2 linked regions of the Schizosaccharomyces pombe genome follow. Changing the gene in region 2 together with the main gene of any one other region gives a genetic interaction. Each region holds a gene or a part of one and is shown on either strand. Other genes may lie near its edges.

Region 1 (7,484 bases), on a different chromosome or scaffold from region 2:
GCGAAAGCAGGACATATATCGGTGGGTGGTAAAGATCCTTTTCGTGAGTCTAGTTCTGCATTTGTTTATTTAGGAACTGGTAAGTTCTTTTAACATCAAATTTTACTGATGTGTGCGTTTGTAGAATGGGTTAACAACCCTGTTATACATAGGGATATGAGTGTTGCACGATTAATTGCTTCTGTTGGAGGAGATAAATTTGCCGAACGTAGGGATTTCTTGATTTCAATTCTTGATATAGATCTTCGTTGGCGAATGCATGCAGTGTCCGATGGTGAAAGACGACGTGTTCAACTATGTATGGGACTTCTGCGTCCATTTGAAGTACTTTTACTTGATGAAGTAACTGTAGATTTGGATGTTCTTGCCCGGGCAGATTTGTTAAATTTTTTGCAAGAGGAAACGGAAGTAAGGAATGCTACTATTGTTTATGCAACACATATATTTGATGGTTTAGCTGAGTGGCCAACTCACTTGGTCCATCTCAGTCTTGGGCGTATCGTGGATTATGGACCAATATCCAAGTTTGGTGCTCTGATGACAAGGTCCTCTACGGGAAATAGCGCCCTTCTAGAGACATGTTTGGAATGGCTCAAAGAAGACAAAAAAAATAGGGGAACTCGAGAAGAGGAAAAGCGTAGTACCTGGGACGACGTTCAAGAATCATTAAAAGTTGGAACTGATGTATTTACTGATTACTTTAAGATTTCCCGAGCAAAATAGATTACTAGAAAAGTTATCCTTTAGATGCTTAATTCTATCTTTAACAAGCATTACAGTCTTACTAGAATTAATAATTATACCTTTTATTAATTATAATTTCATTATAATTTGTTTAAGTCATTTAATTGTCATTAAAAGTCATTAACATTTCAAACATCATTATCTCTTAAGTTCATTGTTATTCTCCAGCTGCTTAAGCATGCATTCAGCTTTAAGGACGACTGTTTGTCTCTTTTTATTTGAGCCTTCTAGAGTTTGTTTATCATTTTCATAATTCATTAGAGTTTCGATTGTTTGTTTCGATGATTCAGTGCAATCGGTTTTGTTGCTTAAAGAATCATCACACAAACCTTTCTGTAGCTGAGATATTAAATTTTCCATTGTTGCTGAAACTTCCTCATTCTTTGAAGAACCACTATTTTCTGCATTATTGCTTTTAACAGATGCTTTTAAAGCTTGTAGTCTTAGAAAAGCAAGTTCTTCTTCCTTCTCCATCTTCTGATTTACAGTGCTAGCCTTTTTGTACTCCAGTATTATTTCGTTTAAATTATTGAAAAACCTAGCACTCGATGTAGGTTCATCTGGATTTTCACCATACATTAAGAGAGTTGTTTTAAGGGTTGTTTTTAGTTCAGTAATATCAGAATTAAGTTCATCCACCATTGATTTTCCTGATGGAATCCATGGAACCATGACTTCACAGATATGGTCATCAGGATGAAGAGCTTTATGATTCGAAAAAATGCCTTCATTGCTAAAGTCCTTTTCAACATTTTTCATCCGTTCACAAATATCATTACAATCCTGCTCCAACTGCTCCAAATTAAATCTGGAAATCTCGGGAATGGCTTTCAAATCCACGAGAAAAGCTTCCAATTGTGGAAAGTGAGTCCGAACTATTTTTTCAATAGTATGAAGAAGTGTTAATCCTGTTTTGTCATTTTTAATCATGGAAGCTCTTAGTAAACTTTCCAATCGATACCCTTTAGCTCGACGGGGTGCATCATTCATAAAATTGCCAATATGAAGGACCAAATTTAAAAAATACTTGAAATGCAAACTAGATTTCAACTCTAAAGAAGCACAATGAAGTTTCCTTATTTGTCTTCTAAAATCCCTAAAGTTGTTGGCCAGAAACGATTTGATTTTTAAAGCTGCCATTCTTTTTTCGTAATAAGTATCAATGTCAACAACAATTAACGTATAAATTTGATCGAAACGAGACAATTCTAAAAGCTTTTCACTTACTTCCATTACCTCTTCGTTTCGAGATGACATATAAGGCTTTAGTTGCTTTTTAAGACCTTCTTGTCGAAAAAACTTTCGGTCATTAAAAAAATCGACTAGTTCCATGATATCATGGTCGCAATGAAAAAATTTTTTGGCAATTTCAATTGGTGTCAAGGAATTGAATCTATGCAAACGAATACTAACCATTTGCTGTAAATCAACTGGCATAAATCCGGTATATTCCTTAACTTTTTTATTGGAAACTGTTACTTCTCTCAATGGATAACAATCTTCGAGTTGCTTAAAAATCCCTTCCGCAGTAAGTTTTAAAGTTAATAAATAAGGATCTGCAACTACAATATTCCATAGAGTTTTTTCGAAAGGAACTTCGAGGCGTTTCCAATGAAGCTGCTTTAGCCGTTTAGAAGGATTGCATAGCTCACCAGGAATTTTGCTTGCATACACTTCAGACTCTGAACCTGAACAGAATTTAAATATGTCATCGATTGAAATATTTTCGGGAATAATTATCGTCTTCCGAAAAATTTGTGAATCATTTTTTTCAAATTTCTGGAGAGAAGACATTGCAGTTGGTAAAGGAGGTGCAGGAGGTGGTAATGGTGCAGGAGGTGGAGCTTTGAATGGATTCCCATCAATAACTTCTTTGATTCTCATATTTTCTATTTTAGAAAACCTCTTGGTATCAGTTATGGAAAATCGGCCATAGTACGACTTTCGATAGTCTAAGGGAAGATCACTAACAACATCAATCCTTTTTGGATTAAAAACCTTGTGTTTTGAAGTTTCCATTTTTTCTGCTAAGTTAGCACTTTTTATTTGTGTTCCTGGCATACTCAGATGAACCTCAAAAGAATGCGTTGAAACAGCGGAAGATGGCTCGGATTTTAAAGTGATTGAGTTTGCTTTAGCTAGATCTAATTTGCAAAGTTTTAATTTTTCATCCTGATTTGGTTGAAAAAGCAGTTTAGGTTTTATCCTTGGTGAAGCAAAAGCACTAACGCTAGAGGTAGTGTTCACGGGTTGAACCCAATCTCTGTTTCCATTTCCATTCACATTGTTTTTAGAAATTAAATACTCTTGGTCACGATCTTGCAGTTTACTACTTGATCGGTTCAATAATCGAAGAATTTTGGTATCTTCGGAAATGTATGAATCGCGCGTACGCGTCAGTAAGTGCTTTAGTTTACTAAAAATTTTTTCGGCTGAAAAGGAAGATTGAGGATCAAACTCTGATGGAAACAACAAACACAAACAATCAAAGATATTTTTCAGATCGGTTTCATACTTCGAACTTTCCACATACTTTCTTTCGGAATTCTCATATCCTTGATTTGTAGTGTTATTAGTATCACCAGTAGCATAAAGTTCTGATTTGGAGACGCTGTATTCATTATCATCAGTATTATCATATGATGCGACAACTTTTTTGCTATTGGTAGTACCGTAGCCAGACGTAACACTTGAGTACCCCGGAGCGTTGTTCCCTTGCTCGTTTCCAATCTTTAATTCCTTATAAAAGCAATCAATATCATTATTTGAATTACCATTCCCTTTATCAGCTTGTAAAGTAAGCACTAAACAATCAAGTAACTTTATAATACGGACGGGGTTGTTGTGCTCTTTCAAAAGTTTTAAAAAATTTTTAATATGCTCTTTAACCATAAATTCGAAATTTGCATCATTAAACATGTTTGTGTTTAAAAGGGATTGATGAGCAGCAGAATTTGGAGTGTGCTTTAAAAAATGTTTCTCATTAGCAGTGTCTAATGATACGAGTTTCACGCATTTCTCGAGTTGTTTTAATACTCCTTCATCATTTATTTTTTTTAGAATGAGTAAAATGCTTTTGAAATTCCCTATTCTCAAGGATTCCTTGAACTGGAGTAAAGCAGTTTTAGATGGGATATTTTCAAGAAATGCATTTATAAGAAGCATTTGTGAAATGATATACTCAATAGTTATTTTATCATGTAAGGCCGCTTCTTCTAGTACTTTCTTTTCTTCAGTAACAACTTTCTCTAAGAGTGTTCTTTTCCATTGAGAAAGCCATAAATCAAAGACGTTCATAGACTCGACTTTCAAATTTGCAAAGTTTTTCATACATTTCATAATTGCGTTGATTCCGTTCGGCTTTTCTGAGTAACAAAGAAAAGTAAGTAATTCGGCAGCTAGTTTCCTTACTAGTAATTTAGTTGACAGGAGGCAGTGAACAACTGAATCGATAGGATACTTATTACTCAGATAGAAATCAGTCCCAATCTTCTGTCCTATAATACACCTCATGCTTTTGAGGATTGCAATTTCTAAAGTTATGTCAGGACTTTTTAGATGTTTCTTCTCATGAATTGCCTGCAATATTTTAGCAAGTACTATGTGTCCACCCATCAAAAGAAAATATCGAACCCAGGTAACTGATTCGGTTCTCAATGCAACCGCCAAAGATTCCACGTACTTGAGCTTCAACGGTGTACAGCTTAACTTTTCAATATAGGAAATGACGGATGCCTTGACATTTAGTTCAGAATCGTTTGATGATATTTTTAAAAATTTATCGTTTCTCGATAAATAGCCAGTGATGAAAGACCATTTGTTTTCTTGAGAGAGTGTAACGTTCGCGTCCCAATGAAACTGCTCACCAGAATCAGATTTTTCTTCGCGTAATCTTTTTAAAACATCATCGAATAATTCATTCACTAAATTCGGGTCATCCGGACATAGAAGCGCTTCGCCTGGTACATATGAATCGGTAAATCCAACAGGTCTTTTTGATAAATTGTTGCAATGAATATCCGGAATAGTGTTTTTTTTGTTTTCAATACTCACAAATAGTGAAGAGTAATCATTTGTAATACGAAGGTCTGTTTTCTTTACGCTTTGGTTTTTTAATCTGCTTCGCGATAATGCTTTTGCTTCGACTTTTTCATATGGGTCAGTGTGTAAATCAATGTTTGTTAGAGACCCAAACGATGAAATTTCTTTAACAATTGGTTTAGAGATTCTGATACCTTTAAAACTAGCCGTCATCATTAACAAGCAATAGCTAAAAAAGGTGAAACCATCAATAATATGTCCTATAATTACAGAAACAAGGTTTTTTGCTCGTAAACAATCCTTTTTGAGTTCAGATATAAGAAGTAAGGTAAAAGACTTACTAGAAAATTACTGAGTATTTAGAACATAACTTTCTTTGTTCGGTTTAACCGACGTAATATGATTCAAAGCAACAATTACATATGCAACGATCCATTTTATTGTACCCGTTAAAGAACAAAGAAATACTAACTGTGTTCGAAAACTATTTAGTTTTCCGATAAGTTCAAGCTCAAACACAAACGTAATTGGAAAGCGACAACTTGAAAGTAGTCCATATCAGAATTAACTGAATAATGCTGGAAATAAGTTTAGTGTCCATTCTAGTTTATATTTATTAATAAATGTTTTTTAAAAGACATTGAGAGGGTGGCGTACATACTGTGTCTTTAGAATAAGGCGCCTAATGAAGTGCTAGTTTACTATCACGCTAAAATTAAACAATCGCTTCTGCTGTTTAATTTATAGCTTGATTGATATTTGTTTTCCATAAATGAAAGACAGTTTGATTAAAAAGGATAAACATTTTGAGTACAAGATCAAGATCAAGAAAACTTAAAAAAATCAATCAGACTGTTGAACTGAAAACTAGCAACGAAAAAATGTACAAGATGAACTTTCAATTTAATATATTAAAATAAGAAAAATCTTTAATGCAGACTACTCTTTCGCACCTAAAAGCTCCAAAAACCATTCCAAGAGCATGGAAGATAACTCACTATAAACAAATCATAACAGTGGATAAACATAAAACGTAGGAAATATAAACATAAAATAACATAAACAACTAAATCTTGTCAAAAGCGAATTGTAAAAACAATTGAAGCAGTCCAAAGTAGTTCGTAACTAATACTAACAGTCGTAATTGGGGTTTAAAACTCGAAGTATGTTTAGTTCTGCTTTCAAATTGTTATTTCGTTTCTCAGCATCTTCCAATAAAGCTTGATATACATGAAGCTCATTGACTACCAAATCATGAAATAGATTGCTAGTCAAAAGTTGAGCAGCAGTTGGGCGCTTATTCGAAGAGCTGAGCATTGACCGGATTAAGCTAGCTTCCTCTGGCATGGAATCCAAGAAATCATGGGGGAAAATGCCCTTTTTTAAATTGGCGATAGCTGATGCCCTTTCCATGCGCGTGTTAAAAGGATACAGTAATTCAAAAAAGAGTATGCCCAATGCATATATGTCAGTAGACGAGTTGTTATTCATTACCGATCGCATGTGTTTTGAGAAAAGTTCAGGAGCTGCATACGTACTTGTACCGACAAAAGAAGATTCAGCTGAGGAGTTGGTCCCCTCTTCCAAATTATCTGACTGAGAAAGAACAAGACCGAAATCGCCTATCTTGGGCACAACACATAAAGTTCTTTGGTTCACTGGTTCGTACGCATTGCTAACCTCAACATTATCTTCATCAGAAAAATTAGGTAGACACACAGAGCAAGGCTCAGAATGTACACCACTAGATAGAAAAATATTTCGAGGTTTCAAATCACGATGGACTAAATGCATAGCATCGTGAAGATACAAAACGCCCTCTAAAATCCTTGCAAACAGTAAAATATAACAGTTACGTAGGCCTTTAGACATTACACCGTGAATATGCTTATTTCGTCTGTTTATGTGTTTCTCGAGTGTTTCTTCGCAAAGAGCCATTTGTATGTACAAACATAAGGGCTGTTGATCAAAGCTGGGAATATTGGAACATTCATCTTCCTCTCTTTCGGATAGAAATGAATCCATAAGTAACATTTCAGAAGCTGACTTCGTTGGCGCCAACTTTCCTAATGTGTCGACTTGTGATGTTGTTGAAGAACAATCATGTGACTCGGCATAATCCTGATCGGCCTCTTTCTTGAAAAGATCAGTCAAGTTGCAAGTCGAATTTTTGGTAGAGTAACAAGGAGTTAAATCATCTGCAACCGAGTCCTCTTGGAATAGTATCTGAACTGATGAAGGATAAGTATGCTGAAGTAACCCAGTATCCATATCAAACATAAAATTATCTATATCTGCTGATTGAGATAATGTCTCATCTGCCGAAGCTAAAGGTTCTTCTTCGATTTGCTTTTCAGATGACGGTAAGAGCTCGACCCAACTAGAAAAGAATCTTATCACATTGGGATGGTTTAATCTTGCCAAGGTCCTAGATTCACGGAATATGTTAGAAGAAGTGGAGAAAGAACGTAACCGAAGTGGAATTTTTTTTAAAGCATATTCAACTCCATCGAATTTATTTCGAGCTTTATACACTGAACCATAACCGCCTTTACCAAGTAACTCAAGTTCTTCAAAATCACTTGCATATCTTGACCTTTGGACTGTGGGAAAGCTATCAAAGTTGCTAAAAGACAAGTTACCGGTTCCATCTTTGTGCTCACAAAAATCAGCAAACGTGGAGGACTCCAAAGTGGTTT
Region 2 (4,148 bases):
ATTCATTAAACGTCCACCCTTCGACTTCAATTGTTTTATAAAAATCTCTTAGGATTGGAAGCTTTTTATCCAAAGGCAACGTCATGTCATCCTCTACTGTATCCAGTCCACGAAGGACAAGATAAAAAATCATAACAGCCTCTCTAATACCATTTGGCAATTCTTTAATAACGACTGCAAAGGATCTCGAGGTCATATCGAGTAATTGGTAACAACGGCGGATGTTTTGAGGCACATTTTCGTCTTCTCCATAAGAAGGAAGGTCATTCCAAAGCTTGTACTGACAAAGGCACCGGATTTCTTCAATGCGGTTAGCTAAACTCATTATATAAAACGCAGATTAAATGGTGTAGTTGGAAGGCTAAGTGAAGACGTGCTTGAGATATTGATACCACTTCGTTGGAGTTTGTTACGGTCAGTTGATCAGCAGCCCAAGTGTCAAGCGGTATCGAACTTTCAGGTTTATTTTAGTAGAGTACTCTTTGTGTTTGCACAATTGAAAAAAATAAAATAAAATTAATCTACATCAACTACAATTGTTGACACCAACAAAAATATTTGTATTAAAAAGTTATCAAAGCTACCTGCCACCAAAAAGTAATGTAAACTTCAGTCATACCATCAGGATTGACTAATTTTGATCTCCACTTTTAGTTTATGGAATTACCAGGATATCCTAGTGGTGCAGAAGTTGAAGTTGTATAGCACAACAGAATTGTTACCAAGAATATTTAATGGACCATACCCCTGAGCGATAACTGTCGTTCCATTTAAAATTTGAAAGAGTGGAAGACCTGCAGCAGCTGTGTTGTTAACAATGAAACTAACATTAGCTGACTGAACACCTGCATTGACATTGGTGGTACCTAGTACGGTGCCATTAACGCTAACGCGCAAAGTATACGATGACTTTGCAAAGGATATAACACTAATAACGTCAGAACTGTTCTGGTAGTTATCAGGTCGAGGAATTGAGTCTGACGATGCTGTCGCATTTTTTGAATGCACCCGGTATGTAACGTATAATTGCGATATTCCGCTGAAGTTAGATGGAAGACCTGTAGTATTTTGTTTATACATTTGAATGAAAAGGGGAAGTGAATAAGATAAAGGTGCATGCGTAAACGAATCAACCCACTCATGAGAGTTTGATCCTATGACCGGAAAGTCAGCAGCATAATTAGTGGGACCAATATATGTGCTTTCTCCATAGTCATTCCAAGTTAAAACTTGAACATAGTTTGGTTGGTCTTTAATAAGTTGCATCCACCTGGTAAACCATAAACCTTCTGAAAAGAAAGAATAATTTTTGGAAGTAAAGTGTGTATAAAATATTGGACTGACAGTAGCCATATATTTTTTGTTTGTGGCTTTACTATTTTGTATGTAAACTAAGTCTTCAGCATCGCTAGTAGGGGAACTTGTGTAATAAGGCCAGCAATTCCATTTGCAGAATCCATCGGCAACTGGATATGTCTGATAAATAGTACTAGCATCGAGAGGCCAAGTGGGCATGAAAAAAATATTGATACCAGCAGAAGCCAACGCGTTTTTGAATGCTACCTGCCAACCTTGGTTTACTGAAGACTGACCAAAATTAATATCCTGCCCAAGAAATGTGCCCACGACTACATTGTTATTAATCCGAGCCTGATGGCCACGATTAGCAAAAGTTTGAACATAGGTCACAAGAGTGCTAGCGGGAACCGTTGACATTTCAGACATATCTAGATTGAGGTAAAGCAAAAACTGAAGATTTAATGCATCAGCAGCATTGTACATCAAAGTCAGTTTGCTCATCATCCAACTGTCATTCCCAAAGTTGAGCACAAACCCATCCAACCCCAAAGAAATTGCATTTTGTATGTCATTTTGGAAATCACTCTGAGCATAATTGTACGTAAGACCCATCATAAAATGGGCTACAACGGCTTTATTCGGTAAAGCTGTTGTTAACGACGCCATTAAGTGATATTTAAGTTGGTTAGTGGAAATGCAAGCTGTCCGCTTTCAAAGGTCTAGCCGATGACTGCCGCTATACAAAAAAAAATTAAGTTATGCAGGTAGATTTGATAACTTGTCCCTTTAGACTCTTTAGTCTAATGTCGACAAAGGTTGGTGTAAATGCCAAAGAGTTATAGATGCCTTTATATACTGACTATTAAAATGTAAACAAATGCAAGTTTGCTTATGGAATGACTGGACATAACAATACTGACAAATGAATTAGCGATACACGTAATTATATATATCTATAAATATATATATACACTATATTTCAAATGAATAACTAGTTATTTATCTGATTGTGATAGACTTTAAATTTGACTTTCCAATCATATACAATGGTGGTTCAGATGGCGGTGCTCAACAATTGTCTAGAGCTATTGGAGTTCTTTATGTTTATTTATATCTATGAAATGTATATCTTTAACATTCTTAGGAAAAGAATCTTGTAAAATGTAGAACAATGACTATTGAAAACCGTAGAACCAAATCAAGAACAACAGAAGTAGCATATCCGTGTAGTTAAAAATTGATCAACATCTTTAAACTGATCGATCAAGAGTGAAAATCGATTGGTTCTAAATTTATAGATTATAAAAAGAAGGGAATCATAATTTTACGAGAACGGGGATAATTGGGAAACTCTTTCAGATAGCGAGCATGCTTTTTCTTAGCCCAAACAAACATTTGTGCGGAACCAACAAATAAGAAGATCCAAGAAGCCCAAGATTTCGTTAAGAGTGCGAAAAAAAGCCAGCCAAGAGACTCAAAGAAGTAATTGGGAAATGATACCAAGTTGAATCCATAACCGGTTGGGATAACACGCTTCTTGGAGCCGGCGGGTCGTAAATCGCGTAAAATAATATGAGTTCTAAAATTGGAAAGGACAGCGAACGCCCAGCCAACGATTAAAAACAACAGATGATTAGGCTTTATGTAATCGTTAGCATGCCAAGGACCATATATGAAATAAGCTAAAAAGAGTCCCGAAAGAAGATGATAATGTGCACAATTCTTAAATATGTTTCGTAAGGGCATTGTTGCAAGTGAAAAGCGATGAACAAAGATACTTTCATACTCGCGTTTCATAAAATGCAACATGACAAGCACAAATGCTATTTTTTGATTAAGGCACAAGTTGTAGTCTTTTCTATAAATCCATTTGTAATTTAGAATAAAAAATAGATGAATAACAAGAGGACCCAAATACTCAATCATGAAAACAGTACGCCAACCAATTTGGGGACCCAGGTCTTTAACCCAAATAGTGGCACCCGGGCCGACACCATACTTCCTCAATGTGGTATTGGGTAAAAGAGTAGTTCCATCGGCTGTGCTGAAGCGTAAACGCTCAACTGGTAGCCGTGTTACTGAGGACACTTCGTCCCGGAGTTTATCGATTGACCCATCCAGAGGGAATTCCAAACTCTTAGGTAATTTTCGGATTTTTCTGCCCCTTGAAGATAAAGTTATACTCATTTTGAAAACCTACCTTTAACAAGCTGTGTGCTGTTGTTGTTGGGCTTAAGAAGCTCGTGGGAGTTTAATATCCTGACACCAAGTATGAAACAAGTAATGGCAGAGACAGCCTCGATTAGATGATATCGTATTTTGAGAAGATGCGACCTATGGTGACAGGATTTTATTAAGGAAATATGATCGAATCACAAATGTTTTCTTCTTTTCTTCTGCAAATATAGATTCAGATATACTCTTTCAACCAAGAAACTAAAACTCGCCTACCTTTCAACAAATCATAAGTTGTTTGAATACATATGTACAAAAATATAAGAAATTAACATTGTACGTTGAACAATCTTCGAACTATGCGCTTAGCTTGTTGGAAAGTGTTTTTACATTTAAAGCTTAACCTAGTAACTCACGAAGATTTCACAATACGAGGAAATGCTATTATTACCTATAAAACAAGACGAATAATGCAGTATGCTTAGTTAGCTTAAATCGCTAGCAACAACTTTGTTGTGGACCATGAATAAAAATAACTCAATTTAATAGATAAGAAAGTTCAGAACAAGAAATTCTGAAGTAGCAAAAAGAAAGCAAACTTAAAAAATAAGAGAAAATGTAAATGTAATCTTGAATTTCTAAGCAAACGTTCCAAGCTAAGCAAATTAATTGCA

What was found.
Region 1: of agn2 (region 2) and fus1, changing one enhances a phenotype caused by changing the other (phenotypic enhancement), as found in Schizosaccharomyces pombe (one study listed by BioGRID).

Annotation. Positions count from the first base shown.
Region 1 is NC_003424.3:4,812,343-4,819,826, forward strand, and holds fus1 (formin Fus1), read right to left. Parts: upstream 5,445-7,484; 5' UTR 5,002-5,444; coding exon 883-5,001; 3' UTR 769-882; downstream 1-768. Other genes in the region: CCR4-Not complex subunit Caf16, read left to right, coding at 1-79, 125-723; eIF2 alpha kinase Hri1, read right to left, coding at 5,917-7,484. UniProt on the Schizosaccharomyces pombe protein: Required for cell fusion. It associates with the pre-zygotic projection tips in conjugating cells.
Region 2 is NC_003423.3:932,118-936,265, forward strand, and holds agn2 (glucan endo-1,3-alpha-glucosidase Agn2), read right to left. Parts: upstream 1,987-4,148; 5' UTR 1,966-1,986; coding exon 664-1,965; 3' UTR 537-663; downstream 1-536. Other genes in the region: squalene synthase Erg9, read right to left, coding at 1-325; tsc13 (enoyl reductase), read right to left, coding at 2,599-3,486.